Astyanax mexicanus: one gene and its partner. The protein of the gene in region 1 purifies or fractionates together with the protein of each later gene. This does not show direct contact. Links are inferred from orthologs where the notes say so. Each region holds a gene or a part of one and is shown on either strand. Other genes may lie near its edges. The genes, in order: mitogen-activated protein kinase kinase kinase kinase 5-like and nudc.

Evidence for each region.
Region 2: the proteins of mitogen-activated protein kinase kinase kinase kinase 5-like (region 1) and nudc purify together in Homo sapiens (affinity purification with mass spectrometry; 3 studies listed by BioGRID and IntAct, with this or other methods). This does not show direct contact. The link is inferred for Astyanax mexicanus from reciprocal best matches to the Homo sapiens genes MAP4K1 and NUDC.

Annotation. Positions count from the first base shown.
Region 1 is NC_064425.1:7,410,627-7,427,832, forward strand, and holds the start of mitogen-activated protein kinase kinase kinase kinase 5-like, read right to left. Parts: upstream 8,659-17,206; 5' UTR 8,483-8,658; coding exon 8,390-8,482; intron 1-8,389. UniProt on the Homo sapiens protein: Serine/threonine-protein kinase, which plays a role in the response to environmental stress. Appears to act upstream of the JUN N-terminal pathway.
Region 2 is NC_064410.1:21,448,425-21,465,114, reverse strand, and holds the start of nudc (nuclear migration protein nudC), read left to right. Parts: upstream 1-7,660; 5' UTR 7,661-7,776; coding exon 7,777-7,851; intron 7,852-9,393; coding exon 9,394-9,471; intron 9,472-9,604; coding exon 9,605-9,820; intron 9,821-9,963; coding exon 9,964-10,044; intron 10,045-10,448; coding exon 10,449-10,562; intron 10,563-10,999; coding exon 11,000-11,194; intron 11,195-11,288; coding exon 11,289-11,372; intron 11,373-12,705; coding exon 12,706-12,824; intron 12,825-16,690. Other genes in the region: nr0b2b (nuclear receptor subfamily 0, group B, member 2b), read right to left, coding at 1,115-1,353, 2,321-2,885. UniProt on the Homo sapiens protein: Plays a role in neurogenesis and neuronal migration. Necessary for correct formation of mitotic spindles and chromosome separation during mitosis. Necessary for cytokinesis and cell proliferation.

The DNA of each region.
Region 1 (17,206 bases):
AACGGTCGTATCTTCCATTTTTTTTTATTTTTGCGCCAACTGTTGTTGCCTATTCACCAAGCTGCTTGCCTATTGGTCTATAGCTCATATCAACCTTGTGCAGGTCTACAGATTTGTCCATGTTGTCTTTAGACAGCTCTGTGGTCTTGGCCATTGTGGAGAGTTTGGACTGTGATTGATTGAGTGTGTGAACAAGTGTCTTTTATACAGGTAACAAGCTGAAACAGGTGCAGTTAATGCAGGTAATGAGTGCAGAATAGGAGACAAACTAACAGGCCTGTCAAAGACAGAATTCTTGCTGGTAGGTAGGTGATGAAATACTTATATCATGCAGTTAAATGTGAAATGTGTACCTACTATAAAAATTACAGACCTCCCTATTCTTTGTAGGTGTGAAAATGTCCGAAACACGTATTTTCCCCCCTGTATCTACCCCATCTGTACCGTCAATCTACTCACAAATTCTATGTAACATTATTTATCTGTCTTTACACTTCTTTCTGTAACACAGCCCATCTTTACCTGACTTTATCTTTCCCTCTATAAATTCCCCCATAAATCCCTAATACTAACACTCTTCCACTATCTAATTGTAAAAACATGTCATGTGTCTAAAAGCAGAATTTTCCTGTGTAAAGCAGGCTTGTCAACAAAACACTCTGACTTGTTGTCTAACAAGAAAAACCACACCAATGTCTGCATTTAGTCTGTAAACCCAGAAGGACCAGGAAAACAACCAGTCTGCTATCATTCTTCCATTCTTTCAATCTTCCAATCCAAACAACTTGTAGAATTTACAGTGCATTACAGTACATAGGTTCTAGTTACTGATACAACTGCTGGGAGAGTTCTGTAGCTAACGTTGAAAATATTTACATTTTAATGATAAGATTATTTCTATAAAATAACACTGTTTTTCTAAAGTTTACAATTACTCACAATTGTGCAGTGGACATACCTCTTCTCATTCTTTTTTCTTTTCTTTAGTTTATATTCTATATTGTAGATTAATATTAACCCTAGAACACTAACATTAAAATGGTGTTGGGTATATACTGTATGACAAGTTTTGGAGCCCTTCTTTAATTTTACAACATACAACATTACAAAAAATAAAAAAATGTACCATGGATGACCTTATAAAAAGCAGAACAAATATTTGAAAATCAGGTAATCCTTAACAGGCAATGTCCTAACAAACAAACAAAAATAAAGCTGCTGGGAACTTGGTCTTTGGTTCACCCATTCCTGGGACATGTGACGCCTTTAAACACACAAACACTAACATCAAGTAAATTACACCCATAAAATATCTTACTCTCTATCACTAACATCAGATGAAAATCACCTGAACAAATGCCTCTTGAAAAAAACATAGATGGGAGAAGAGAATCAACCATAACATTAATGACATCAATGAGCTCCCTGAAGCGCCCCAAAGTCCCATGCAGCTCAGACAGCAGCAACACAATAAAAAAACACATGAAAAAATTATGTGTGTAAAAATAACCCAGCATTAGTGTTCTAGGATTAAATCTATGAAAACAATTAAAGACTGATTTGTGCTTCTGCATCGAGTCAATACATAGCCTACAGCGTAGCCTGTACGAGCGCTTTACGCGGCGGAACTTGTTTATATTCTGTGTGCGTGGGTTGGCCTCTTTGCGTCGGCCTGCAGTTTAAACCATGAAGGCAGGAAGTAGTGGGCGGGAACACAGGGCTCGGCAGGCCAATCACAGCTGCTGCTGTCTGTGTCGCATTGTTTTTTTCTGGGGAGGTGCACATCGGGCTATGTCATATGGTATGGCATAGAGTACAGCATAGGAGTATAAATTGGCCTTTAGGCACACATAACAGCAAAAAGTGTTAGTCCTCCATCTGACCAATCCCCTGATCTAAACCTGATCAACTGAGATAATGGTTTGGGATGAGCTGGAGCTTCACAGCGTGAAGGAAAAGCAGCAACTATTGTTCAGCACCTCCAGGAACTCCTTCCCTTAAAATGCTGAGAAAACTATTCCAGGTGCTCTCCCTCATAAAGACACTGAGATTAAAATACCAAGTGTGTGCAGATCTGTCCTCAAAGCTACATTCTTAAATGTGCTACTTAGAAGAGTCTAAAGTATAAAACATATTCTGGTTTGTTTAACACATTTTGTTTGCAGAATATTTCTGCATGTGTTCATGTATAGCTTTAATATAGTCTTCAATATTAAATGTACAATGTAAAAAATCGTAAAAAGAAAGAACACACTAAATGAGACGAGGTATGTCCAAACTTGTACAGACTTGTAGAGTATTTAAAGTGAGAACAACTTCCTTTCCTTTCACCCAGTTCAAGTCTGACAACTCTTTCTTTTTACAAACTCATCCTGCAGTTCTACTCCTTCCTATGGGATGCAAATCGTAACATTCACAAGTTAATTATCAAATCAGGTTGTGTGGGAGTCTAACACTATCCGTTTTACTGCGTATCTTTAATCTCTCAGTATCAGTCTCTATCTCTCTCTCTCTCTCTCTCTCTCTCTCTCTCTCTCTCGGAAGGAAAAGGTCCCACATCCCCTCATTTGCATGGTGCACACTGCTTTAGAACAAAGAACACAAGAAAAGAGAAGAAAGCTGATGGTGTACGACACCAAGCGAGTCCTTTTTTCCTAGACTTTTTCTTACACAAACGCAATAATAAACTTTGTATCGTTTTGTCTCAGAGGTATTTCCTTGTCTGGACTCCCCCTTGTTGTATCTGAGCATGAAGAAGGCACAGCTGCTCTAAAGAGGAAGAAGGAAATGCATTAATGCTGTAGAGCAGTGAAGGCTGAAAATGGAATTCACTATTAGTATGATTTTAGTCTCGTAGTGTAGAGAGAGGCAGATGAAAGATGCTTTAATCTGACGTTGAAAACAGAGGAAATCACTTTTTCTTCCTGTTGACTTCAAGGCCCCGGTCGTCGCCTCCACCTCAGGAGTTTTGCATCTGGTGTTTTATGAAATAGGAATTGACCATAAACCACCATTTGGGTTCTTCTGTCTTAAATGAAGAGGAACTTCATGTGTAGGATGGTCATAGCGGTTTGTCAGCTGGCATTTGACATTTTGAATGCCGCCTTGTGCTTCTTTAAAAGGGGCTTAATGTTTAGTTTGTTTAATGTTGATTAAATAGGGTAAATAACAGTAACAGAGTTACAGTCAGTCTTGTATCAAGGGAGCCTCTTTTGATGCAGGTGGGGTGAGTTTGGTTTTGGTTTTCCTTTTCCTGCCTGTCGGCCATCCCCGTTCAGTCTGTTTCAGGCGTGGTGTGTTTGACGCATTAACACACACACACACACACACACACACACACACAGCATGAAACTACACACACACCAGCAGAGGTGTCAAGTAATAAAGTATGAATAGTTAATTACCTTACTTAAGTAGAAATGTTGTTTATCTATACTTTACTGGAGTATTTATTTTTCAGATTCTAATCTTTACGTTTTCACACAATTATCTGTACTTTTTAAAAATAGCCTCATTAATCCTATTTAATTTCAGCTTGTTTTTATTCCGGCTTCTTATCGTTCAATAAAAAAAACCCTTTTCAGATAAATCTCTATGCAGATATCAGAGTGAATCTGATTGTGGTTGGATGTAGAGAAGTGTAAAAATATTTAATTCCGACTCCCTATTGGTTTACCACCACACCTGCACATCATGTTACGCCCCCCCAACCCCACACTCCAGCAAGAACATAGCAGACGTATGTATCCGTGTACTCTGTGGTGCGGCCTCAGCTTTTGAACCCTTAAGTTACTTTATTTTTATTATACTTTAAGTAGTTTTGAAACCAGTACTTTTACACTTTTACTTAAAGAGTAAAAGATTGAGTTGATACTTCAACTTCTACAGAAGTATTTTTTTAAACCCTAGTATCTTTACTTCTACCTACAGAGTAATGAATGTGAAAGCTCTTCACACCTTTGCTCACTGTATGTGCTGATCTTAAAGTAAGCACATACGTGCAAAGTTTTTCTCTTTCACAAACAGAAACACACAGAAGCACGCATTCTACAGAGTCTACAGAGTAGTCTGACTAAGTGGCATTTACAGTATCAGTCAAAAGTTTCGACGCTCCATCTCATTTCGTGTTTTTCTTTATTTAAATATTTTTCTACATTGTAGATTTATATTAAGGACATTAAAACAATTAAAGGACACGTGGAATTATGTAGTAAGCATTTAAAAAAGTGTTTATCCTCCACAATCCTCTGATCTGGTGATCTGGGATGGGCTGGAGCTTCACAGCGTGAAGGAAAAGCAGCAACTATTGTTCAGCACCTCATGAAGACACTGAGATTAAAATACCAAGAGTGTGCAGATCTGTCATCAAAGATAAATGTGCTACTTAGAAGAATCTAAAGTATAAAACAGATTCTGGTTTGTTTAACACTTTTTTGATTACAGAATAATTCACCATGTGCTCCTGTATAGCTTTAATACAGTATTAAATTTACACTGAAAAAAATCTAAAAACTAAGTAAACACATTGAATGAGAAGAGGTATATCCAAAGTTTTTACTGGTAATGTTAATGTGTGTTTGTGTGGCAACAGAAAAAAATAGACGGTGAATATGGTGTAGGGTACACATAGGGTATGCATAGGCTAAGGTATAGATGTAGCACAGAAGCATACGTTTAGACTGTGGTTTAGGGTATGCACCTGCTATAGGGTACTATGGTGTACATTTTTTTTTATGATTTTTTTCCCATTTTCTCCTAATTTGCTTATCCAATTATCCCACCCCTTTGTGCGTCCCCATCACCAGTGGCACCTGCGACTCTAGGTCGACCCTAGAAGGATGAGGACGAGCACACACCTCCTCCGACACATTTGAAGTCAGTCACCCCTTTTTTCGAGCTGCTGCCGATGCATCATTGCCTGAGCAGCTAGCAAGCTCGGAGGAAAGCACATCGACTAGGTTCCGATACATCCGCTCACAGACGCCTCGTGCCGCCGGGCACCAACTTCTAGCGTGATGGGGAGAGAGCGCCATCTACCCACCCGGAGGGAGCAAGGCCAATTGTGCTCCCTCTGGGTGCCGAAAGCTAATGGCAGAGCTACATGAACAGGATTTGAACCTGTGACCTCCCGTTCATAGAGGCAGTGCATTAGACCACTGGACCACTTGGTGCCCCCTAAGGTATAGATTTAACACAAAGGATTAAATTGTCCTTAAAAATTAGGCTATGGTGTAAGATATACAGCTATACAAAGGCTGTGCATAAGCTACTGCATAGATTTGAAGCAGAATCAACAATCATCCTTAAGGCGTAGGCTATGGTGTGGGGTACAAAGCTGTTCATACGGTATGCATAGGCTAAGGCGCAGATTCAATTCAGAAGCAAACATTTGCCTAAAGGCATAGGTTACATGTAGGCTAAGATTTAACTTAGATTTAACTCAGAAGCATAAATTGGCTTTAAGGCGTTGCTATGGTGGAGGGTACACAGATATATATAGGATACGTGGAGGCTAAGGCTTAGATTTAACTCATGAATTGAATGAATTGGCTTCAGATCATATACTGTGGTTAAGCATATGTGGCTACGAATAGGCTAAGGCTTAGAGTCAAATTAACTAATAAATTAGCATTAAGACGTAAGCTATGGTTTAGGATAAATGACTACACACAGGGTATGCATAGGATAAGGCATGTATTTAACACAGAAGTATAAATTTAGCTTTAAGGCATAGGCACACATATACATAGGCTATGTGGAGGCTAAGGCTTTGATTGAACTCAGAAGCCTAAATTGGCTTTAAGGCATGTACTGTGGTTAAGCATATGCGGCTATACAATGGCTATGCATAAGCTAAGGCTTAGATTGAATGCAGGAGCCTAAATTAGCATAAGATATGGTTTAGTATAGATAGATGAATACACACCGGGTATGCATAGGTTAAGGCATCGATTTAACACAGAAGCATAAATTGGCTTTAAGACGTAGGCTATGGTGTAGGGTACACAAATATCCACATGCTACATGTAGGCTAAGGCTTTGATTGAAGTCATATACTATATAATCTGATTTAGGGTACATGGCTACACATGGAGTATGCATAGGCTTAGGCACAGATTCATTTCAGAAGCAGAAAAAAGTCCTTTAAGACAAAGGCTATGGTGTAGGGTACATATATATGATTGAACTCAGAAGCATAAATTGGCTTTAAGGCATATACTGTGGTTAAGCATGCATGGCTATACATACTATGATTTAGGATAGATGACTACACACAGGCTATGCATAGGCTAAAGCTTTGATTTAAGCTAATAAATTAGCCTTAAGACATAAGATATGGGTTAGGAAAGATTACACACAGGGTATGTATAGGCTAAGGTATAGATTTCACACAGAAGCATATATTGGGTGTAAGGTGTATACTATGATTTATGGTACATGGCTACTCATAGAGTATGCAAAGGCTAAGGTACAGATTTAAATTAGAAGCAAAAATTACCTTTAAGGCGTAGGCTATTGTATATGGTACACGGCTATACATAGGATATGCGTAGGCTAGGTTGTAGATTTAACTCAGAAAAGAAAATCGGAATTACAGTGTACACTAGGGTAAACTGTATATTATGAATTCTTCTGTACTACAATTTATTCATTATCTACTCTGAATTATTCAGTGTTCTCAATAAAGCGTCCAGTACGTACTATGACGTATTTAGTACATATCTGTATATTCCAAAACAGCAACTTTTCAAGAGAGAGTTAAAAACCTACCCCAATCTTAGTCAACCTCAATTCCTTAGTTTAAAAAAAGTTTATTTCAGGTAATTTTGGAGAATTTATAATAGTCCTTTCCTTAAGATATTTTGACACAGTGTAAGCGACAGTTTGTGTGTTCAAATTATCTATATATTTCACTGGAGAGCAAAAACAAACTGTAAATTATTTTTGAGTATGAAGTTTAAGTACCTCCTACAGTTTGTTCAGTATATTAAAATTTAAGGGGTTAAGATGTATTGATGGAATTCACCACTGAACCCACAGACTTATATCATTCGGACTAAAAACCCACCAGAGATCCGGAAGAGCCCTGTGAGAGTAAACGCTGTCATTAAAAGAGCGTCACACTTAAAATGATTAATGAACGATGAGCAGGCTAGATCAGATCTTCTCCTTTCTCAGGAAGAAAAACATCTTTCACAGAGATGAAGAAGAAGAAAAGCAAACCACTGAAACAGAGCTGAGCTCTTCTAATGAACGGCTAGAAAACCCCACAACACATTCTGCAACAGCAGCAGCACACATTTCTACACTGTAGAACTTAATAATTCACATCAGATACTAAATCATTTAGAGTAAATTCTGAATTGTTTGTAGTGGTTACTGAACAAATCATGATATGTATTTTTAGTATGTTTGTCATTTATAGTAGACGCTTAATAATTTTAAACGGTAAAGGAATACTTCATAGTAGAGACTGAAAAAGTCATTGTCGATGGTGAATAATTCAAAATAATTTTAGAAGTGATAATAGATACACAATACATTATAGTAGATACTTCATTATTTATAGTAGGTACTAAATAATTTATTGTAGATCATGAGTTCATAGTAGTTATTAAATAGTTCATAGGTTACTGAGTAAATCATAGTGGTTTCTGAAAAGTTTATAGTAGTTACAGAATAATTCGTAGTGGTTATCAAATAATTCATAGTGGTTACTAAAAAGTTTATAGTAGTTAATGAATAATTCATAGTGGTAACTGATAAGTTTAAAGTAGATAATGATTAATTCATATTGGTTACTTAATAATTCATATGGGCTCATTTGTAGTAGATACTGAATAATTCATAGTGGGTAAAGATTAATTAGTAGTAGTTACTAAATAATTCATTGTGCTTACTGAGGGGTTTATAGTGGTTCCAGAATAATTCATAGGAGATAGTGAATAATACAAATAACTGAATAAGTCATTGTAGTTACTAAATAATACAGCATATACTTGACATTTAAAATAGTGGTCATATTAATTTATTAAAAACAAATATGTCAATTTCAAAAGCTACCTTAACATTCCTAGTTTCAGAGCAGGTGTTGAAAACTGCATCATAATTCCTTTATCTAAAGTCTTAAGCTTGCTCTTAAACATTGGTACATATGTATTTTTTATTTTTAATCTTGAAATGATTCATCATTCTAAGAATGTTAACTTTAACAATCAGAAAACAAATGTTTTACAAAACAAACCAAACAATGTTAGCTATGCAGTTGCATTCAGATCTATATAATAGTAATAAAGCTGCCGTTTATTAGCTGGCGGTTATTAAAATAAATTGGAAATGGATTGAGGAAGAAAAGGCCGTATGAAGTGGCCTAACTGTGACCTCTGACCTTGTAGACTTCTCCATATGTCCCTCCTCCGACCCGCAGCAGGATCTCGAAATCATCCTGAGGGTTCCTAGTGGAGATGTCCAGAACGTCCATCGAGCCAGCAGACACACTTACTCTCCTGCATGTGTGTGTGTGTAAGTGTAAGAGAGTGTGTGTGAGAGAGTGTGTATGTGTGTGTGTGAGAGTGTGTGTGAGAATGTTCCCTCGTACAGCTGCAGAGAGAGAAGGTTTCAGTGCTGTTCGTACTCTCTCTCACTAAACTGAGCAGTGTGAACTCCTTCCTCCTTAGGCTCTGTCCCTCCCTCACCCTCCCGCTCTCTCTCTCTCTCTCACACACACTGACACACACACTCACACTTACACTCACACACACTGAGGGACTTTGTGGTTCATTTAAATTAAGATTGGTTTTATTTCCTTTTTTGTGTGTGTGTGTGTGTGTGTGTGTGTGTGTGTGTGTGTGTGTGTGTGTGTGTGTGTGTAATAGTTGGAAACAGATGATACTGTGTGTGTTTGTGTGGTCGGTGGTATGAAGGTGTGAATGTGTTTTGTGAATAGTGTGTGTGTTTGTGTGTGTATGTTGTCATACTTTTTCAGACCAAAAACTCTCTGGAACAATTAATTATGAATGATTCAGTCGTTGCTATAATTTATTTGGAATCTACTGTGAATTAATAAGTGGATCCTGTGTCTTTGTGTCTTTGCTATCGTAACGTCAGGAAAAGTATGACTTGTGCGGTTTGAAACACACATGGCACGAAAGGCATGTACTAATTGTTCATTAATAATCGTGAGTGTGTTTTAGGCATAATGTGAAATAAACCAATCAGTGTGTCACTTGTCATTCCCTTTAAGAGCCAGGTGCGCTCTGACTGTGAATTGCTATTTTAAAGGCGCAGCTACCTGGACGTGTCTAACATTCTCACTTTGATTCTGTTTATTGCTGATGCAAAAGTTAAGTTTGTGCACTGCTGTGTTAATGTGTGTGTAACAAGTTAAGGTGTATGTGCAGTGCAAATGTGTTGTCAAGATAGCAATGAACATCTGTTGACTGTTGATGTCTGTCTACTTTGTATTCAGTCATTGGCGTACCTGTGTTTTCTGTTGCCAAGATAGCAATACACCAGAAATTTACCTGAACACACCTCATTTCAAGACCACCACGCCCATCAGTGTAGATATATTCACAAGCACAATTGCTACTTAAATTTAGTAGAGAGTGAAAATAGACTGTTGGCGGGGTGTAAGATAGCAATGAGCATCACAATGCACCTTGCGCAGGGTGTAAGATAGGGCCCAGTATCTCCTATAAATGTTTCAGTACAATTTATGGGGTTAATTCACTACTAAACCCATAGACTTACATTACCCAGACTAAAAACCCTCCATTGATCCGGAAGAAGCTATGAGAGTAAATGCTGTCGTTAAAAGAGCGTAACATTTAAAATGATTTATGAGCAAAGATCAGACTAGATCAGATCATCTCCTTTCTCAAGAAGAAAACATATTTTACAGATATTTTACAGTATTGAGCTGTGGAGCAGATGAACTGTGTTCTATGGAATTATACTGGTGCTTTGATAAAAGGTCATCCAATATCCTGACCTCACTGACTCTCTGGTCAATGAATGCAATCAAATCCTCTCAGCCATTCTACTCCAAAATCTAGTAAAAAGACTTTTCAGCACAGTAGATACAGTTACTCCCACAAAAGCAGAATAAAACAACAAGAAACCATTAATCAGGATGTATCCCAACACTTTTGTCTCTCTGTGTTATATATCTGTATATGAAGTATTGGATTATACATGTACTTTTGATCTAATCATGTGGCACAGTGTAAAAAAACAACTGTGTGTGTGCATGTGTGTGTGTGGTGTGTGTGCAGTGTGCTCTGCAAAGGTTCAGCTTCCTGTAGTGTGGCGAGAGCACTGAACTGAAACCAGAAAAACTGCTTCCACTGGGGCCTTATCTCAACTCACACTCACACTCACACTCACACTGATCCCGCACCAGCTACACACACTTCTGTCCAGCCAGGGTCACCTTACTGCATCAGTGTGTAATATAAATATATAAATATATAAATAACTGTGTTAGACTGAACTGATGCTCAGGATAAATAAACCCCTAATAGCCAACAGATTCAGACTCCAAAAACAATTTATACATTTTGACTTTGTGCTGCCATCTGTTGGCCAAGGGAGAGAGAATTACATGTCGTTCCATCATATTTATATATGTACAGGAACCGGTCAAAAGTTTGGACACACTTCTCATTCAGTGTTTTTATTTTTATTCTTTACTACATTGCAAATCAATACTGAAGTCATTCAGACTATGAAGGAACACATAAGGAATCATGTAGTACATTTAAAGTGTTAAACAAACAAACAATTCTCCTTTCTTGGAGCAGTCCTGATGAGAGCCAGTTTCATCATAACGTTTTTGATGGTCTTTACTTTGACATTTCTTGCAATTTTTCAGATTGACTGACCTTCGTTTCTTACAGTTTTTTCCTTTCCTTAGTTTTTTTTAGAGTATTTCTTGCCATTATATGGATTAGAGCATTGCTCAAATAGGGCTATTCTCTGTATACCAACTCTACCTCTTCACTACTTTAAAACTGATGCTCTCAAACACTTTAAGAGACAATTCAAGTAGTTAACTCTTGATGAGTTCAGCACAGCTGTTAACTGAAAGCCTGAATTCCAGGTGACTCTACCTCATAAAGCTGACTGAGAAAAGAGGTGAGGCTTTGGAGAATCTAAAATATAAAACATGTTCTGGTTTATTTTAAACACTTTTGTATACTAAATAATTAAATTTATTTTTCTTCAGAGTTTGGATGAATTAATTATTAATCTACAGTGCAGAACATGGTACTGTATAACTGTAGAAGTTTATTATCAGTACTGCAGCAGCACCAGTAGAGGGCACTAATGCACTGTCACAGTCTCCACCACCTCCAGGTGTTCAGACAGGAAATATTTTGACATCAAATGCAAATAAACATATCCTAAAAACAACCTTTTACATACAGAGCAGCTTAGATATTATATGTTTATTCAGATCCTCTGTTCTTTCTGTATGATTTAAACTCAAATTAAAAAAATCACCCTTTATTTCCAATTTCTACTATTTATATAGTCGCTGTCCAATGAAAAACAAGTATCTCCAAAACAGCAACTTTACAGGAGACAGAAAAATCCTTCTAAACTTTCAACTGAAGGCAATGTAAAATTACTTTATTTCAGGTCATTTTAAAGTATTTCTATTGGTCCGTTCATAAAGAAATTTGGGCACAGTGTAAGGGACAGTTGCTCCGTTCAAATAATGTAGTAAAATTAAAATCGACAAAAATTTCCATTGGACAGCATACGCGTCTACTTTCTACAAGGGAACAGAAACAGCCTCTGCTATATACATATTATTTCTATAATTAGGTCTAAAATCTTGGTTAAGTTAAATATTGGTCATTAATATGTTTTTTTTTTCTTTATAAATCATTGGTTGTTCAGACCAGCAATTTCAGTTAATCTATATCATATATCAGATAAACACAGTGATATTTGAGAAGTGAAATGAAGTTCATAGAATTTACAGAAAGTGTGCAGTAATTCTTTAACCTATTAACATGCCTTGACCTGTATACAGGCTACAGGTGTAGGTGATACAAAACCTTTTTTTCTGCAGTAAAATAACTTATTTACGTTCTGAATAATCTCCTACAGGACACTTGGAGAAGCTGCCTGTTTTCTCTCTACTCCACTTATTAATTCCAGATCAGAAACAGCAATCAACCAAATTCTGCAGGTTTAAAAATAGACGTAAAAACTAGACAAAAGACCTAATTTTTTTTATTTTATTCATTACATTTTGACATCAGCTGATTTACTTCAATATATTTCTATACTTTCTTTTATAATTACACTCATAATTTTCAGTAATGTTCCTTATCAAACATGAAACCTTTTTATGTAATGGTTAAATAGAAATCCTCAAGATTTCGTGGTGTAATGTCAGGCAGAAAATTCACAAGAATCCTGGCCTGTTACACTTTTGTGCAATGACAGTGAGTCCAGGTTGTTTAATGCACAAAAAAAAAAACAGAAAAAAGATTTATTATAAAAACAAATAATGAAAAAAATAATTAAAAAGTGTAGTTCAGAGCATGCACAGTACCTTTAGGAAGCACGTATCGATGGGTAGCATAACTCGACGGAACACCACTCTTCAAAGAAGTTGCAAAGAGGAGAAAAACTTGCAATTGTTCACTTTAACCTTTCTCATAATTGCATTCACCTGTGAATGTAGGTCAAGGGCGAATGAGACAGATTTTGTGTTTCAATAATTAGTGCTAAAGGTATTAAAATCATTAAAACAACTAACAAATAAGGGTTCACAATTTTATGCACATGCCTAATTTTGTTTAAATAATTATTGCACACTTTCTGTAAATCCTATAAACTTCATTTTACTTCTCAAATATCAATGTGTTTTTCTGCTATATGATATATTTAACTGAAATTCCTGAACCAAACAACCAACGATTTATAAAGGAAAATCTTGAAAGTGATCATGGGTGCCTACTGTAAAGGTGACTTTTGGAATGTCAGTGAAAAAGTTTTGCACAAGAAACATTCACATTTCAAAAGGGTTTATATTTTATTTTCTTAATATTGTTTATTAATGTCTTATGAAGACTTTACAAGACTTTACATACATTTACTTACCTTGCAAACACACAGCATTAAGAGTATAAGTGTGAAATGTATTGAAATGAGAGAGTTGTGTGCTACAGGGTGTTATTAGCTGTGGTGTAAGACTTTATATCCTTCCACACTACTACTACCACCACTACTACACTATCCTATTACTGTAATGTTACACACTCTTACAGCTTTACACACACTCTACAGCTTTTACTATCAACACTCTAACAGATATAGGATTACATTTAACATGTACAAAAATATTAAACATACAAAGTTTGTTAAAACTCACATACAATTGAAAAGTAATGTATTTTATTGATATTATCAGTTTTCAGCTATCCCATATTTACATTGTATTTCACAAAATAAATGAAAAGTGTTTTTTTGGGGTTTTTTTTTTTTTGCATTAATAAACTGAAATTGTTAAAAAAAAACATGCTTGATCCAAAGTTTGACTTTTTACTTGTGTATACTGTTGTGTCTATGTTTGTAATTGTTTATATATAAATGAATACAGAAGATTAAAGCAAATTTAATGCATTTGGTGCATTTGATACAATAATAAACAGAATAACACTTAGCCCTTCAAACAAATAACCATATATCAACCATCAAATCAGTTATTGTCTTTACTATTGTATATTATTTAAAGTGTCTTCAAGAATGACATATCTAGTCTAATCAAATCACATTTAATATTACATTTAATTTACTATAGGGTTGTTTTTGTTATTGTTGGAAGTGCTCAATTAAAAATGTATTTAATTATATTTGAGTCAAATTTGTCAAAATGCCATGGCATATGTAATAATAACACATGTATGTGTGTATGGCACAATGACTGTACATGATTATAAACACATACAAAGACAGAAAAAAATAATGGCATTACAAAAAAAATAGAAAATAAATGTGCTAGATTTGTGTTTTAGTTAAAAAAAACAGTATAAAAAGTCATGCATGTTGATGTGTATATGGAACAATTATTTTACATGTTTACAAAACAGAATTGTAGATGTATAATGCCAATTACAATATATTAAATACATGTAATCAAAGAACTATAGCAGTTATGTGCAAATTTGCAGTGTATTTAAAAAAAATTATCGAAACCTTTCGTATAATTTGGACTATTAGCTGTAGCCGATCATTCAGAAGTGTAACACAATGTATTGTATCATGTATTTTTGAAATGATTCAGGTATTGTAATCAATGCATTTGATGTATATTCTAATTGACAAAAATAAATCTGTTTTTTGGATAGTGTTGTCTGTGTACATGAATTTGTTGCAGTTTGTTTGTTTGTGAGTGTCTTAATAAACTTATTTAAACCTTGCAGTTCTCTGGATTCAGTGCTGTGTTTTTATTCATGCCCTGGTTCAGCTGCCCAGACCTGCAACAAAAACAAACAATACAGTGTGATTTTATCTTCTTATACTGTGTTTATTTCTGTTATATACATGAACTCTGCATTTAAGAAACGCACTGATGTAACATAAGAAAGAAATAATAAAGTAAAAATAAAAAATAACTAGGAAAATAAAGAAAATACATTTATACTTTATACTGTTCATTTTTCAGTAATTGTTATTGCCATTTATATCAATAATCTAAAGAAGTTCAGAATAATGATATTGGGGACCATTATAGCTTAAACTTCCGTTTACTTAGTACTTAACAATCTACAGTTATTATATTATGTTATAGAATAAATCTGTTTTTTAGTCCTTCAAAAATATTTTTTATTATCCCATCACACATTCTCTATATGCATATTGTGGACAATCCATTATGATACATTATGTCCAAATAAAAACTTTAATGTTTACTTTCTCTTAGACATAACTAACTCTTCAACTAATTAATTCTTAAAGACCTAATAATAAAGCAATATGTTACAAGCTTTCAACATTACAGTGTTATAGCATTAAAGTATTACAAAGACAATGGGGTAACAGTGTTACAGTGTTGTATGTTTGCAGGGTAACAGGTGGGCAGGGCTACAGTGTGCATGTGTACAGTGTTACATGGCTAAAGAGTAAATGGTGTTACCCTTTTAACATTACAGTGTTACATGTTTGCAGGGTAACAGGTGTGCATGGATTCTGGGTTACAGTGTTACAGTGAGACATGGTCAAAGGGTTGCAGGGATTCAGGGTTAAAATGTTGCATGCTTTCAACATCACAGTGTTACGTGGTTGCAGGGTAACATCTGTCCAAGTGTACAGTGTTACATGTTTGCAGGGAAATGGATGTGCAGGGTTACAGTATTACATCGTTGAAGAGTAACAGCTGTTACCCTATCAACATTGCAGTGTTACAGCAATATTATGAAATTACAAGTATTATAAAGATATTAAAGGGGTTATAGTGTTACAGTGTTACATGTTTGCAGGGGTACAGCGTCACATGTTTGCTGGCGTACAGTATTACAGTGTTACATGTTTGCAGGGGTACTGTGTTAAAGTGTTACAAGTTTGAAGGGGTACATTGTTACAGTGTTACATGTTTGCAGGGGAACGGTGTCACAGTGTTACATGTTTGAAGGGGTACAGTGTTACAGTGTTTCATGTTTGCAGGGGTACAGTGTTACATGTTTGCAGGGGTACAGTGTTACATGTTTGCAGTGTTACAGTGTAACATGTTTGCAGTGTTACAGTGTAACATGTTTGCAGGAACTGTGTTACATGTTTGCAGTGTAAACAAGTGTAACATGTTTGCAGGGGTATAGGGTTACAGTGTTACATGTTTGCAGTGTTACAGTGTAACATGTTTGCAGTGTTACAGTGTAACATGTTTGCAGGGGTACAGTGTTACATGTTTGCAGTGTAACAGTGTAAAATATTTGCAGGGGTACAGTGTTACAGTGTTACATGTTTGCAGTGTAAACAAGTGTAACATGTTTGCAGGGGTACAGTGTTACATTGTTTCATGTTTGCAGGGGTACAGTGTTACAGTGTCACATGTCTGCAGAGGTACAGTGTTACAGTGTAACATGTTTGCAGGGGTACAGTGTTACAGTGTAACATGTTTGCAGGGGTACAGTGTTACATTGTTACATGTTTGCAGGGGTACATTGTTACAGTGTTACATGTTTGCAGGGGTACAGTGTTACATTGTTACATGGTAGCAGGGGTACAGTGTTACATGGTTGCAGGTTATCATGTGTGCAGGGGTATAGTGTTATAGTGTTTGAGCCACTAAGCCGGTCTAGAACTTGCCATTTGATAGAAATGAACCCTTGAACAAACTTTTTTTCTCTTTTTATTTCGTTCTCTATTCTGCTCTCTCTCTCTCTTTCTCTGTATGTATGTGTCAGGCAGTGCTGGGACGGAGTTTGGGCCTCCACTGCCTTGGAGAACTGGACTGCCAATGTGTGTGTGTGTGTGTGTGTGTGTGTGTGTGTGTGCGTCTCTAAGGAGGTCCAGGCAGCATCACTGCTGACACACTGTTGCTGCTAAAGCCAGATTAGTGTGTCTAAAACAGGCTGGAGAAATCTGCCACCCGGCCCCTAATACACAACCCTCTGTCACCCCCAATAACTCATACACACATAATCCCCCACGTCGTGACCCAACACACACTCACACACACATGCATAGACTACCCCATGCAATATATACTTACACACATATTCACATTTACACGTACACAATGTGCCTGTACATTTATTATGACACACACACACTATGCATTGTAGTGTACTTTCTGCGGGCGGATCTGACGTGCACAGGCATACACACACACTCTACACTAACTATACACATACACACACTCTACACTAACTATACACATACTCACACTCTACACTAACTATACACATACACAAACTCTACATCAACTATACACATACACACACTCTACACCAACTATACACATACACACACTCTACACTAACTCTACACATACACAAACAGGTGCAGGTGCAGGTGTGATGCATCACAGTATAAACCAATAGGGTGTCAGAATGGTATATGTTTATACTTCTCTACATCCAATCACAATCAGTTTCAGATTCATTCAGATTCATCTGGATGGAGAGATTTATCTGAATAGGGGTTTAATTGAACGAAGGGAAGCCGGAATGAAAACGAGCTG
Region 2 (16,690 bases), on another chromosome or scaffold:
TTACAGAAATAGAACACAAGAGGGCAGCAAATATTTAATTTTTTAAACAGGGTTATCTCTTCAAAATGAATATTCGGTGAAAGACAGATTAAAAAAGATTGTTAATCACGATGAAAAAAATATTACACTGGAAATCTTTCTTAGAAAAAATGGAACAAAAAAAAGGCTCTGTTACAATAAAACCAGATTGCTTGCCTTCATAAACCAGAATGTGATAACAGTAAACTTAAATATGCAGTTGTTCTTAAGTTGGAACTCCCCAAATACTCGCATACTTAATATAGCTAGATATAAATAAAGTGATCTAAAGTGGTTTGGTGTGAAATGGTTTATTGATGCTTTAAATGCACCTAAAAGACACCATGCATTATATAATCCATGGAGTCCCTACTTCACAACTTAAAACACCACAGGATGCTTTGTTTTGTGAAGTCCATGCCTCAAATGACCAGGGCCCAGCTTTCTATAAGCATCTTAGCATTAAGATCATCTTAATATGGAGAGAGAGTGCGTTTGAGAAACTCACCCCAGATCTGTTATGGTGGCACAAGAGAATCTACTCAATACTAGGCAGGTGATAATAATGCTATGGCTGTAATATAATTATTTACAAAAATATAAAGTAGACCTAAGTACACAGATGATGTCAAACCAAAACCCTGTATCTACAAATGGTAATTCTGGTAATGTAACATACAGTGTATTTGGTGAAATTATCATGTAGTGCAAATGTTGGCTGTTACTGTACTGTTTTTTACTTACTTTAATGCTAAAAATGCTAAAAACTGAAAAAATGATGTGTATTTGATATCGGCTGTGATGCTGTGCTTATCTGACACTGATAGCTGATGATGTGCAGTTCAGTTTCTTAAAGATGAATATGAGATATATAATAGTGATAACAGATATAAAAATGTTGACATAGACACGACAATTGTCATATAACAGATGCCCAATAAATGCTAAAAATAACATGTCTTACCTAAAAAACTAAAGGAAAAAGTGGACTCCTTTACTTAAACTGCTTTTTCTCTTTTTTTCTGTCAAAAAAATCCAAATAAAATTCTAAGTAGGATATGCCCAGTCAGTTCATTCCACAGGTCAAAAAGTGCTGTTAGCTGAAGAGTATCTCCAGCAGGAGCTCATTAATGTCTGTCTGGCCGATGATGGGCCTGAAGAACAGTTCAGTAATAAAGCTCTGGGCTACTGTGTGCAAAGCAGAGGCTGCAAGAAAAATGTTCGTGAAATGTCCAGGAATATTTGGATGAAGTGTGTGGATGAGTTCATGCAGTGCCTGCTGAGCCTCCTTCTGAAGTCCCCGTATCACTTTGTAGCTTATTAGATTAGAGATATCTGTAAAAAAAACAAAAATAAATAAATATTAAATATAGCTTTATTGTGTTTTTGCATTCACAACAAATTGGTTCATGTTATCTGCTTCAGAGAATCCTATTCTATTGGCAGTTTAATATACTTCTCTACAGGGACCAGGCAAGCTATTTCTGTCAGCAATCAGTGCATCTGATGAAGTAGCTAAATTAAAATTAATTTAGAAGACGTGATCACAAACCTTCACAATAATTCTTAATTTCCACACTATTTTACCTATTTAATCTTAACTTACACATTAGTCTATACTATTATACAAGTGTAGATACAAAACTTCTGATACTAAACATGCTAAACTAATTTTTAATATTTACAAAAAAAAATCATTGAATATACTAAACATTTCATCACAATAATTTCATAATAATCATTCACTTAAAACAATAACTATGTATTTAATGATATAGTGGCATTTTATTTTTTTATTTATTTTAAAATTAAACTCATTGTTAATAAATTATTTCAGATCATGTAAGCTATTTTGCAGAACCTTTAGTTAGCTTGGTTTCAGATTCTTCCTGGATGCCTTATTTACAGATTTGTTCTATTTTATTTTCAGCTAGCCTGATTTAATACATTTCTATAATATTTAAGCAGTGTTATGTTAAAACTGCTAGTTCTTGCTCTTTAGCTCCCTCTGCAGTGCATTTTGAGACACTTCGAAAGAACATGCTTTACACATGCATTTCTGGACAAGCTGAGAGATACAAAAAACCTTACTAAATGCAAAAGAAGCATGTGGGCTGAGGGGTTAGAGTAATATTACAGGATTTACGCAGCATAGCTCTTGTAAGCATGGTCTTGCCTGCTTTGCTAGAGTTGCCAGTCCCGGAGAAAACAAGCAACAGTGGCAACATTCCTCTCCTATCTTTCACAGTAAAGTAAAATTTGCTACTGTATACATGAAAACAGATCACTTTAAGATGATTACCTGGGTTGAATAATACTGCTCCCTTGAGGTAAGCATATTCTTTAGCAGTGAGATCCAGACTCCAGAACTGGTTTAAACACGATTTGAGGTTATAGACAGTTGCTAGGGTTGGTGATGAGTAGTCTGTGTCTCTGTGTTCTTGCTTTTGGTCGTTCAGCAGGATCTTCCGGAGGAGGCTGGCCGTTGGCATGTCCGTCACCTCGAACGTTACGTGCTCTTGAGCGAGGCCTAGCACAAACAGCGGCACCCAGCAGTTTTGAAGCAGGGACAGCTGATCTCTGGAGGGCAGTTGGTGAAAGGATGGAAGGCTTTTCATGAAGTGGACGGTTTTCAGCAGAACTGCAGACACTGCCTGGCAGGTAACCTTCGGGTTCTTCAGGCATACCAGCTTCTGCTGCTTGCAGTGACAGATGGAATGCATTCTGGAGCAGGCCCATTGGTTGTCTGGATGACCATAGCTGTCTTTTCGATTGAGAATGTTATAGAGGATGGTATGAGGATGGTGCTCCCATTCAGTGCAGCAGCAGTCTCTTTTTTTTAGATCCTCAGGTGAATACATTGTCATGTTAACAAACAAGTCGACTGAGATGTTTGCTCTGACAGATCTTTATCCAAGCATCTGAATGTCAACTCCTGGACTACCACACACAGTCTTATTTATACTGCCAGCCTCTGACTGTGACGAATCGTTAACCTTGACCTTTACGACCTGCGGGAGCGGTCACAGACTCGAGCAAAACAACATGACCCTGGACCGCGGAGTGGGCTAACGTCTCCACGTGGAGGCCATAAGGCTAATTCAGCCTGATCCTACACAGTGGCTGATCCAGACAGAAAAAGTGTGCGGGGGAAAGGGGTAAATGACATTTATCATGTTTACCCATCATTAACTCTACCTGTACCAAGACACCAAGGACTGAGACAACTATCTAAAAGATTTATTGGCTTTGGGCTTTGAGCCAATATCATCCACACTACTGGATAAGGGCTGTGAGAGTATTGTATCATATCTAAAAAAGACAGCTTCGTGAGGTTAATGGCAGTTAAAGGCACGCTGATCATAAAAATACATTTCCTTTTTTTGTTTAATAAATGTGGTGGGTTATAATTGATAAAGAATAGATTCAAACATTTTAGCCCACAACAGTTTAGCTACAAGCATTCATGCTTAAATGATAGGAAGTGTTCTATCTTGGTTTTATGTAAAAGAGAAATATAGGATAGAATATTTTCATTTAATTTTCCAACTATAGTTTATCTTGGCAAAGATCCATTAAGCTTAAGCATCTAGTGTGCCAACAGTCATGGAATAGCATTATATAAATTTATCATGAATTTTATATCAGGGGACAGCTTGGGAATGGCCACACCTGTAATGTGAAACACAATGAATTATTGCTACTGAAATGTATACTGCAAATTCTAATAGAAATAATGCGAAATAAATCTTCACATTATAAGGTGCACTGGGTTATAATGCGCATTAAAGCCAAACGAGTGCTGGATGGTAATCTACACAGATTCCTCTCCTGAAAATGTGAGTAAAGCGGTTGCGTTTATTTACAGTAAGCTTAGCAGCCAGCAGCTTTAGCATTAGCAGCTAACCACTAGCTCTAACCACAGTTAGCACTAGTAAATACTGCCGACAGGGCTACACTGAGGAACTCTTAGTGTTCCGGTAAGCCAGGTTGATATTAGCTAGCGGTTCATCGCATGTAGCTTGTTTTAACACGGTAAACATGGAGACTACAGTCCGATATACTCACCGCTAAATGTCGAAAGAGCTAGCACTTAGCGCGGTTAGCAGCTAATGCTACTACTGCTCCAGTAGTGCTAGCCAGCGTTAGCAGCCGGCTACAGTCTGATATACTTGGATATACTCGGATTAAAAGGCACACTAATTATTTTTGGGAGAATTAAAGGATTTTAAGTGCGCCTTGTAGTGTGAAAAAATGTGAGAAAATTATGGTTTTATCCAACAATGACAATATCTGACAGTTGTCAGATATGAAACCAGGCACATTCATAAGACCCAGGGACATCCCCTGCTGCCCACATGCAATTGCATGTATAATATTTTGTTTTTGATACATTAAAAACAACAATTAGGCTATTTGGTGGTGTACCACCTTGGTGTGCCTTATTATGTGGCACTTCAAGTACATAATGCTTGAAGTGGCACATAATACACCACATTCAGTAGCCTAGCATGCTAGAAGATGCAAGTCATGGTGTGGTTAATTGCACAGTTAGTAGTGTGTACAATTAGCCAACCATCTTAAATAGTTTTGAACGAATAGTTTTGTCGCTGTCCTATGACAAACACTTATCTCCATTATTGTGGATTTTTAGTTTACAACATAATTTGAACAGACAAACTGTCCCTTACACTGTCAAAATTTATTGATGAACGTACCAATAGAAACTCTTCAAAATGACCTGAAATAAACTCTTATTACACTGACTTCCATTAAAAGTTTACAAGGTTTTTTCTCTCTCCTATAAAGTCCCTTTGTTGCTGATCTTACAAATTGTTGTGCCTTTTTTTAAAAAGAAGACCTGGCTCAAACACTGGCAGCCGAAAAGGGAGCTGTATGTGCCTACATGCACCAGTTTTAATTTCATCATAAAAATATAAATTCTAAACAGGTTAGTTGCCATATTTCAGCTATAATTTTCATTGACTAGAAAAATTAATAAGATGTTTTAAAACGTTCACACTATGTTTCGATTGCTTTACTTAGTATATTTTGATATGGACCCTTAATACATATTAAAACTGGTTTGGTATCTGCATCTGCAGGTAACACAAGGTTTTAGCAAAAGTAAGTAAATAAGTGCATTAGGTGAAAGGTCTGTACTCATTTGTAATGGGTCTATCTGTATGATAGAGCTACTACAGATACATTATCTGGCTGACACAGAAAAACTGCACTGTCGGTCAATGACTGAACGGAGAGTTTACTAATCACTGCTCGTGTCAAGATACTGATTTGTGCAACATCCTTTTACAGCCTTTCTAATGAATATGCCAAACAGGACAGCTTGGTCCTACTGTATATTGCAGCTATGGGATGGCCAGCTTATGAACTGACCTGGATTCATAACAACCAGCTAAATAAATTATATTTTTTTTATGTGTGTAACAAATAAGACAAGTACTAGTTAGAATAGGCCTACCCAGATATGTTGTGAATTTCACAATAAGGAAGAAATGTATTAGATTCAATACAAATAATGGACAAAGTCCAAAATGTGCTAATGTGGAGCATCCAGAGAAAGTGGACTAAGGCATAAATTGCTAAAGCATTGCTTAAGCAGTTCCAGAAATTACAGACATGTTTCCATGATTAGCCTGCCACTTACTAATTAACAAATTTGTATGCAAAAAATATCAACAGCACATTTGTCTGACTCAACCCATTGTAACTACAGATGTGTTTCATGGATAGACATGTTTTATAGATGCTAAATAAAAACTCTGCAAAAAAGGTAACCCAGTATATATTGTATGATGCACCAGAGAAAAAGAGAAAAATATTTTTTTAATGTTTTCATTTCTTTCAATGATTTTTTATTTATTTATTTTACTCTGGTTCATTATATAATCTAATAAAAGATCATACAATATTTATACTTATATGTTGCTGATTTTTTTTTATTATATTTTGTATTATTATATTTCTAATATTTATTGTCTGCATATTTTATACTGTAATATAGTTTGGGGGAGTGTTCTGCTAGTCTTAGTAAAATTTTGGTTATTCAGACACAATTTGTTTGTATTGCAATGCAATCAAAATTATTTATGCCACCTGTTCAGATACTTCTCTATTTATAATATTAATATATTTCAAATATGTTTTACTTGTAAAAAAGATATTAAAATGAAGGAAATATCGCAATGCATGAATTACTTTATCACAAATTCAGATACACCCATATTCAGTCTGTAGATTTTTCTTGTAGAGGTCAATTTAAAATAAGGTTTAGGGGAACAAAATTGTGAGATGATTTTGCCATTTAAAAACATTTTTTCGCCTTTACTTGCACTGCATGTTGTCTGTTTGCAGTTTACATGAATGCACTATATGTGCTAAACTTTAGTTTAGTTAAACAGTCCTGGGCGTTTGGTGAGGAGCAGTAAACTCTTTTTGTCTCTGTAAAGTCTGTATTTACACGGATAGTAAATGTTCCAGGCGTTTCTAGAGAGTTCTCTCCGCGGGCTCTGGTTCCTCTCGGGGGAAATCTTTAATATGCGCGAGAGTCGTGACGTTTTTTTAGTTCCAGTATTTTATTGGCTCTCTCGCCTGTCCGTTAACTCTGAGGTGGTTTGATTGGTCAATCCTGGAGGCGGGTCCTGTAGCTAGGAAAACATTTTTTCGCCTTTACTTGCACTGCATGTTGTCTGTTTGCAGTTTACATGAATGCACTATATGTGCTAAACTTTAGTTTGTGGTAGACTTTTTTAGTTACATTCAGAGTGTGCAGACATAGACACCAACGTGAAATCATTTTGTTGTGCAGTAAAATGTCTCATACAGCACCAAACTACTAAGCATCTTTAGCCGACTGGTCACCAGATAAACTAGCCGCTCTAGCCCAAATCAATGATAGATAACGTTTTTTTTATTATGAAGTGTTCCACGTGCGCTAAAAAGTGCCCTTTTTCCCCCCTGAGCACTCGGCCCCCAAAATGTCTGTGCACGACCCTGGTTACATTAGTTTATTTTTGTTCAATTAGTTTATTTTTTTTACATTTTTCTGCTATACTGTTGTTATTATTTTATGTACTATAAATCTTGTTGAGTTACTATAGGAAATATACCTAGGTTTATACTTTTTTGTATCTACTGAATGTATAAAATGTATATTAAGGCTTATAGCTGCCACTCAGCTTATATTTATTCTAAATTAAAAAAATGTTTTGTCTTATCGCAATGAATACCATTATTGCAAAAAATACCATCAAATATCGTGATGTTATGTTAGGGCCATATCGACCAGCCCAAGGGGCCAGGCATTTTTTTTTTTTACATATTTACCTATAAATAAATCCAGCACAATTCGAAAAGAGACTCGGCTCGTGAGTTAAACAGTCCTGGGCGTTTGGTGAGGAGCAGTAAACTCTTTTTGTCTCTGTAAAGTCTGTATTTACACGGATAGTAAATGTTCCAGGCGTTTCTAGAGAGTTCTCTCCGCGGGCTCTGGTTCCTCTCGGGGGAAATCTTTAATATGCGCGAGAGTCGTGACGTTTTTTTAGTTCCAGTATTTTATTGGCTCTCTCGCCTGTCCGTTAACTCTGAGGTGGTTTGATTGGTCAATCCTGGAGGCGGGTCCTGTAGCTAGGAAGCGGCTGCGTGTTTTCCTGTCTGTGAATAACGTGCCTCCGCTGGTCCGCTGCTCCGCGCTGTTCGTTGTTTCTGAGCGCAGTCTGAGACTCAGGGCTGTTAGAAATGGGAGATGATGAGGAGAAGTATGACGGGATGCTGCTGGTTATGGCGCAGCAGCACGAAGGAGGAGTGCAGGAGGTAACGTGTGAAGCGAGCTGCGAGAACAAGAGCATCAGCAGCAGCAGGGCGGCTAGCTGGGTTAGCTAACAGCGGCTAGCCTGTGATGGACCTGATTTACTCGCCTGTCTGTTGATAGGGATTTGGTTAGGGTTTTATTCATTATTTCATTGAACAGCAGCAGCAGCAGCTATCCGTGCTGTGTTTCTGAGAATCTAATCTAGCACTGCTCCTGTGGTTGCCGTTATACGGGTAAAGTTACCGGTGTCTGTGTAGCTAGGTAGTTAGCTAACTAGCTTATTTAGCTTTTTTTTTATCCTAATAAACTATAAGCTTAACTAGCTAGTTAGGTTAGCTAACTTTAGCCAGCTTTTAACTTTAATCCCTGGGCATCTAGTCACAGACCTTCTCATAAGTAGCAGTTTTGATCTATAATCAACAATCAGTGTCTGCTGCTACAGCTAACATAGGCCTGTCACCATAACTGTATTTGTGGACTATATATTACACCCACATACAGTACCAGTCATAAATTAATATTAAAGACCTTAACAGTAAAGGAACACACATGGAATTACATAGTAAACAGAAAAGTGTTTGTCCTCCACAATCATCTTGAGCACAGTGTGAATTAAAGTATAAATCATATTCTGGTTTGTTTACAAAGGAATTCTGCATTTGTTCCTGTGTAGCTTTAATGTCTTAAATATTACATTTAAAATATAATAGAAAGTAATATAAAGAAGTAAAACGATTTGAATGAGAAGGTATATCCTAATATATATATATATATATATATATATATATATATATATATATATATATATATATATATATATATATACAAAAAAAAAGTTGCAGCAGTTCTTCAGGTCTAGGTTTAGAAACAGTATGTGATAAAAGAATGAGGTCAGCTGACTACCTGAATATACTGAATGACCAGGTTAATCCATCACTGTTTTTTTTTCCTTCCCTAATGGCAGGGGCATATTCCAAGATGACAATGTCAGGATTCGTGGGGCTGGAATTGTAAAAGAGTTCAGGTTCAGGGAGCATTAGATCATCATTTTTACAGAAATGACAGTAAATACTGAAATTGCAGCATATTTGTAAAAAAAAATTAATTGCCTATTTACATTAAGTAACGCTTTTCTGTTTGTAAATATTTTTTAATCACCTATTTACATTAAGTAACGCTTTTCTGTTTGTTGCAGTCCTCCCTCTATGTATGGAGGCACTTTTATTAATGCAATGGTTATTGCATTACCGGCTGAAATATTGCCGATGTTTCTTCATTCTCTTGTAATCAAGAATGCAAGTAAACAGAATTTGTGATATCAGGGTTATAAAAAAAAAGTTATGAAAAGTAATGATTAGGTCATATTTTTGTATTGTTCTGGATGTGTTTGGTTGATAATGGTAGCGAGCAAGTCATTTTATGTGCATCCTGTTCTGTCTCAAAGGCTCACTTAACTAATTATGCTGATATATTGTCAGTACCCTGACTTTCTGTGTAAACGGCAAATAGAAGAAATAACTAAATAAACACTTTTTTTTCTACAGTTGGTGAACACATTCTTTAGCTTTCTCAGACGAAAAACAGACTTTTTTACTGGAGGTGAATCTGGAGCTCCAGAGAGGGTGAGTTAATGTCATTGAATAGAAACAATCCCTTATCTTTTTTTTTTTTTTTTTTTTTTAGTTTTCTTCCAAATCTTTTTTTTATGTTTGTGTTTAGTAATATAGTGTGCTTCACTCAATCTTTACTCCTTAGTTGGTAAAGGAGGCATTTGCCCATCACAGTCAGCTGGCGCTCCAGGCCCATAAGGACAAACAGTCCAAACAGGAGAAGGAGAAGAAAGAGAAAGCAGAAAGAGCTGCTAAGCTGAAAGCTGAAGAGGAGAGAAAAAAGAAAGAGTTGGAGAACGAACCCAGAATTAAAGAACTGACGGATGAGGAAGCGGAGAGACTGCAGACAGAGATAGATCAGGTAAGACTGTCCACTAGTTTTCTCTTTTACAGCTAGAAGTTTACAGTACGTTTATTAACCTGATTGTTTTGTTTGATTAGTTGATTGGTTTGGCTTGGTGCCTTAAATCTTTTGCATTTCTCTATTGTGCATGATTTATGCAGAAGAAAGACAAAGAAGAGCAAAAGGAGAAAAAAGACACTGAAAGCAGTGCTGCCGATACATCTGATAAAGCAGAAAAAGGGGTGAGTGAGGAATACACATTTATGATAATGGGAAAAGAAAGATGTGGACATACCTAGGATGAATTTTGATCAATTTGCCGTATTCAGAGTCAGATGAACTGTCTCTGTCTCTGCCTGACTCAATTTCAAGAGTATAGTGAGATTTCCATGCAAATGAAATAACTTATGTTTCAGTCACAGCATACCGGTAAGTGTAACCGGTACTGGCATATGGGATTGCCATTTTACAGTGTACAACACTAACACTAACAAAACACTGGCAATCTGTAAAACTAAATGGTTTATATGGGTATATAATGCTTTTTTTTTAACACTAAAGTGTTCTGCTGTACATATATACTTGTACATATAGCTTGTCAAATGTTTTGTGTGGTAATCTTGAGTTTTACTGATGTGTCGTTTAGTCTGAATCTGAAGGAGAAGAAGATGAGAAGGATAAGAACAAAGTAAAACCTAATTCTGGGAATGGAGCAGATCTGCCCAACTACAGATGGACACAGTCCTTGTCAGAAGTGGATGTGAGTATATTTTGTGGAGCTTTAGTCAAGCTTGCCTTTTTGTTTCTTCGAATACAGATATGACCACACTAATGAGTTTATTTGTAATGAGATAAATGATGACTGTATCCAGTTGTTGCTTTATATTCTTATTTAAGCTCTGTGATTGTGGCCATTTATGTAAACATGCATGGATGAGTTAAAGTTTGTTGGTGTTTAGCATACGTATGCTTTTCTTGGAGGGGGCTGGTTGTTTAATAAATTGATATGCTTTCTTTAAATTTAATCACCTATTATTTATTTTTGTCTGAAATAAATAAATAGCTGAAGTGTATCCACCAGATCTTTACATAGAAAAATACTCATAAACCATTGACGGTTGTTCTTATTAACAGTACAATATCAAGTTTTTCAGTATCTTAGTTAACAAGATTTTGCATCTTTTATTTCATCCACAGTTGATAGTGCCTTTTGATGTGAAGTTCCGGCTGAAGGGTAAAGATGTTGTGGTGGATGTCCAGAGACGTTCTCTGAAGGTGGGCTTAAAAGGCCACCCACCTGTGATTGATGCTGCATTGTTTAATGAGGTGAAAGTGGAGGAGAGCTCCTGGCTTATTGAGGATGGGAAAGTAGTGACGGTTCATCTGGAAAAGGTAGGAGAAGAGAAATAAGTAACATCAAAAGTGTTATATGTTGGTCATAATTAATAATAATAACCAAATATAATATGTTTGACTCTCAAACTAGATAAATAAAATGGAGTGGTGGAACAAGTTGGTGACGACAGATCCTGAAATCAACACCAAGAAAATCTGCCCAGAGAACTCCAAGGTATGTACAGAGCTGACATAAATAAAGATTAGCCATTATTTGACTTAAAGGAAGCTCACTTGCTTCATGTAGCAATGTAAAAAATTAGAATTTAGAAATATATATATTTTTTTAAACCATACTTTTTCACACTATAAGGTACACTTTCAGTAAACTGAACTGAAACTCCTGTATAACACTGTACTTTAGCGGTGTGGCTTTACTGCTCTTTATAACCTGACTGGTAAAATTTATACACAAGACTTACCGGATTCTAAGGCGATTTTTGGCAAAATAAAAAAATTAAATGTGTGAGAATATTAAACCTTTTTTAAAGTTTAGTTCTAACTTATTATGTTGGTTGGTATTAGCCTATTCTAAAGCTATTGTACATTAGATCTTAATCTCTGTGCTGTGCCTACACTAGAGTCCTTGACTTCACTTAACTTGTATCTGGATTATTTTTTTCGCTATCATAGCTTACCGTTTGCCCTCACTGCAGTATTATGAACGAAAACACATTAACAATTGAAGCTTCTGAAATAATTTTGTTGCAGATTCTTGGTTTGTGGCGCCACATAGTGTGAGTATTCTCACTGGCCAATCAGTACTTTGCAAGCTTAACATATCATGCTTCAGTTCCTAAGCTACTCTTGTGGAACCATGAGTGAGCAGGTACTAAAGAACTCAGTTCTAGGTACCAGGTACCAAATTTGCTCAGCTCATTTGCTGAAAAGCAAGTCAGATACAGAGTCTGTGAAAAACTGGAAAAGTCATGGAGTTTAGAAAAAGCGAATTTCAGGCCTGAATATTTTTTGGAAAAATAAAAATACCCAAAAAGTTTAGGAAAAATCATAAAAAAAAAAGTGTTTTGGTTTAAAAAATAATTTAATGTTTGGGTAAATCCATCACATCTCGTTGCATTAACTAGCTGTCTATGTGGGTCCTATTTAGACTGGACTTTCAGCTTCAACTATAACCGTAAATTCACACAGTGAGAGAAAAATGCTGATTTAATGCTGTCTGGCTTTATTTTAGACACATATGTAAGGCAGAAATATTATTCAGCTTGTAAAATGTGATATTTCAAAGTTTCAAAATTTTAGGTGAGAGATTATTATATAATAACTTATAATTTTGACATGGATTTATAGTTTTTTTTTGCCATGTCTGTACTGATGTTTTAAAGATCGTATGGTCATTAAAATGTGCCACGAAGGCATGGAAAAGTCTGTTACAAAGTGTATGTACCCTGCATGTAGATAGCACGCAGTGTAAAAATGCCTTAACAATCCTGACAATATTGCCAGCATGTAGTATTATTATATGATCTGACCCTTTTTTCTTCATCCAGCTCTCTGATCTGGATGGCGAGACACGCAGCATGGTGGAGAAGATGATGTATGACCAGAGGCAGAAATCCATGGGCCTGCCCACCTCTGAGGAGCAGAAGAAACAGGACATCCTGAAGAAGTAAGTGACATTAACCTTGACTTCTTCACACAGACTTTCCACAGAAGCCGTACGTCATGTCACACAGTCAAGCTTCGTTAAATTCGAACAGAAACAAGACTAATTCCAGATTAGTTATCCAGGAAAACGTTGACATTGCTGATTGCAGCTGATTATTGTTGCAGCTGGAACAAGGAAATAACAAAGAGAATTGCATCAGGAATTTCTTAAGATGAGACTGCAGTAACCTCATGTTCCTGTCCCTGTTAAAAGGGATGGGTGTTAATCCAGATCATACAGCACCTGCAGCAGGGTGGGCTAGGGAGAAACGGCCTAACCGATTTATTAGAGGTCATGGAAGCAAGCTATGGTTTCGTTTAGGACTGTATGGTACAACGATATGTTTCATCTGTCAGAATAATGTTGGTTAATATTACGCTTTAAAACTACACAATTTAAAACAGTCTTGTTTTGCCATTTATATGTTGTGTGTATGTGATGTGCATGTTAAAAGCTTTGAGTGCCGGCGCAAATATTGTTTATGCTAGTTTTCCTAACAAACCGCAATAATTGTTTTTTTAAATGTTTTTTTAAATGGCAACCAAAAAAATTTAAAAGTGAAAAGTATATTTTATGTTTATCAATTTTCATAGTTTTGCAAGGAAAAAATATATATATAAAGCTCTGGAAATAATTAGGAGACCACTTCAGTTTTGGAATCAGATTCTCTGATTTTGCTATTTATGTGTTTGAGTAATTATTCTATAAACTACAGACAACATTTCTCCCAAATTCCAAATTAAAATATTGTCATTTAGAGCATTTATTTGCAGAAAATGAGACGATGCAGAGCTTTCAGACCTCAAATAATGCAAAGAAAACAATTTCATATTCATAAAGTTTTGAGAGTTCAGAAATCAATATTTGGTGGAATAACCCTGGTTTTTAATCACAGTTTTGATGCACCTTGGCATGTTTTCCTCCACCAGTCTTACACTCTGCTTTTGGATAACTTTATGCCACTTCTGGTGCAAAAATGCAAGCAGTTCATGCTTGCTTCAGCTTGGTTGCAGGTTATGTTCTAGATGTTCTGAGTTTGAGGATTTTTTTTTTCTTTTTTTAAAGGCTCAGTCCCATATATGGCTTCAATAGCAAAGCATGTGAAATTTTGAAAAGATCAATGAAAGTGTGGAAGATGTGTCTCAGTAACTCCTACTGTTACCGGTCAAGGACAGGTTATGCTCTTTTAACAACAGCCATAAAGTAATTTTATAAGCTCTGTGTCAGGCTGTGCAGGCTCCTGGAGTTACCGGGACTGGAACTTGCACACTGTTGCCAGGCTCATTTCTCTTGAATGACCTAGTGGTGCACAATACAAAGCTGGCCAGTGAATCAGCTTTGGCCTAATATTGTAATTGCACTTTTATTTACCCGTCATTCTAAATTTAGACCAGATGAGATCAGATCTATGCATGATAGCATGTCAACACCTGTATTGTTTCTGATCTTCTGGAGAATCAGCCAATGCTTGGGATTTTCCAATCACTGTTTTTTGTCCCCTAGTTCCATTCATTTGATTTTGATTATCTGCCGATACCGATTCCCTATCAAATAATTAACAATGCAGTGTAAAAAAACAAACAAACAAAAAAAACATGTGCAAGTTGATATTTTTTTATTGTTAGTTTGTATTGAAAAATTGTATTTTAACACACATTTGTTAGTAAATGTATTATATTTTACTAGCCTGTGCTTTTTAAAGGCTAATTATTGCTTACTTAATATGTTAATGATTCAAACATTAAAATCACCAGTAGGGCTGGCCCGAATAGCGTTTTTTGAGCTCCGGATATTCGGCACTGATTCGAAGCGAATATTCGAATATTCGTTTTTAAAAAAAGAGGTAAAAAAAATAAATAAAAAAAAGCAAATCACGGCCCCTTTAATCCACTGAAAAATGTTCAATTTGCTCTGACTGACGAGACATATTCACCCCGGATTTTTGGTGTTTTTATCCCGGATTTTTGTGTTTTCACCCCATATTTTTTCTGTGTTTTTAGCCCAGATTTCTTTGTGTTTTCATCCCGGAATTTCTGCTGCCCCACACCGCGGCTTATCCGCTGCATAAGCAGGCCAGGAGGCTGCTGCACGGTTTCTCCGCTGCGCAAGCCAGCCCAGTAAATTGCTGTTTGTGTTTTCACACTTAGGCTATTTGCTTAAAAAAACAAACAAAAAAAAACGTTTGTTCAGGAAGTATTTTATATTCTTAAACATTGTTAATTATATTAGAGGACAGTCATTGTAAACTGTACTTGGTCTATTTCGGTTAAAGGATTGTGCAGGGCATATTACTGTTTTTGTATTTTTGCACTTGGGCTATAAGCTCAATATTAAATATTTCGTTTGTTTAGAAATTATTTTATATTTTTAAACCATGTTAAATTATATTAGAGTAGAGGAAAGTCATTGTTAATGATGTTATTGTACTTGGTCTATTTCGGTTTAAGGATTGTGCAGGGCATAGCCGTATTACTGATTTTGTATTTTTGCACTTGGGCTATAAGCTCAATATTAAATATTTCGTTTGCTTAGAAATTATTTTATATTTTTAAACCATTTTAAATTATATTAGATAAGAGGAAATTCGTTCAGACATCATTTTTGTAGGCCAGGCTTTTGTAACCGATTTAGCCCCTACTGTTGCCACATTACCCCTTACGTTTTATTATATAAATCAGTTTCGAAGAGCCTGCATTTTTTTTTTATCATGTATAATAGAGGTCTGCGCGAGACTGATTTTTAAACCCACTCTTCCACGCTCACGCGTTTCTGTCTCGTTACCGCACCACAAAAAAATTGCTTCTTTTAATCCCGCGCCCGCCCGCCACATACACATTTCTGCCGCTCCCGCCCCACGTTCCTAATATAAATTAAATAAACTACATTTAATGCTTCAAATTTACTTATATATTTATTAAAACAGCAGCGCTGAATAGTGCGGTCCCGTTCCTTACCCCAGTCCAAACACCATCGGTGTGTGCGTGTGTGTGTCGGTCCATCCTGCGCGTTGAGAGTTTTCTTTAGTTTTTTTAGTTTTTTTACAATTATTACAGTTTTCTTAACTATTTATTAATTTGCTCCCGCATCGTCTGGATTAAACTCCCGCTCCAGCCAATAACAGTTCAGTTCTGTCCCGCGCGCAAGATATTCTGACGGGACCCGCGAGAACAGAAGTGGTTAGAGTGAGGTGGAAAGGAGAAAAAAAAAAACGAATATCCGAATACCAAAATTAAAAACCGAATACCTACTCAACGAACGAATATCCGAATACCCGAATATTCGGGTCCAGCCCTAATCACCAGTGCCAATATTAAACAGTGCACATATGTGTAAAACATGTGGCCTACCAGATTTTAAGCTTTTAATAATGCATACTTGAATGTTAATGCAATAATCAGTGTTAGATTGGCTAAATTAAATTTATATTAGATGTCATGTAGTGTATTGTATTTATCACCAATGTTAAAATCATGATTCTGATTTTTTAAATGCTGGTAGTTTCCAGTATTTTTGGGAGGGACTGTAGAGGGAAATATAGCTTATTAACTAATTCTGGTGCAAAGCATCTTCATGTGTGATTAACTTGTGAGTGATCATGCACAAAACAAACATCATAAACTAATAAACAGAATCGGGACGTTTTTGGTAAGAAACAGTAGGAATCATAGGTTACATTAACACGTCATATAAAAGTGTCTCACACTTTTTTTTTTTATCACGTTAGACAGATATATTTTTAGACAAGGAAAAAAGTCAGTGCGGAGAAGTGAAAATAGACAATAGCAGCGAATGAGGGTTTAATAAAGGTTTTTAAGGTAGGCACATCT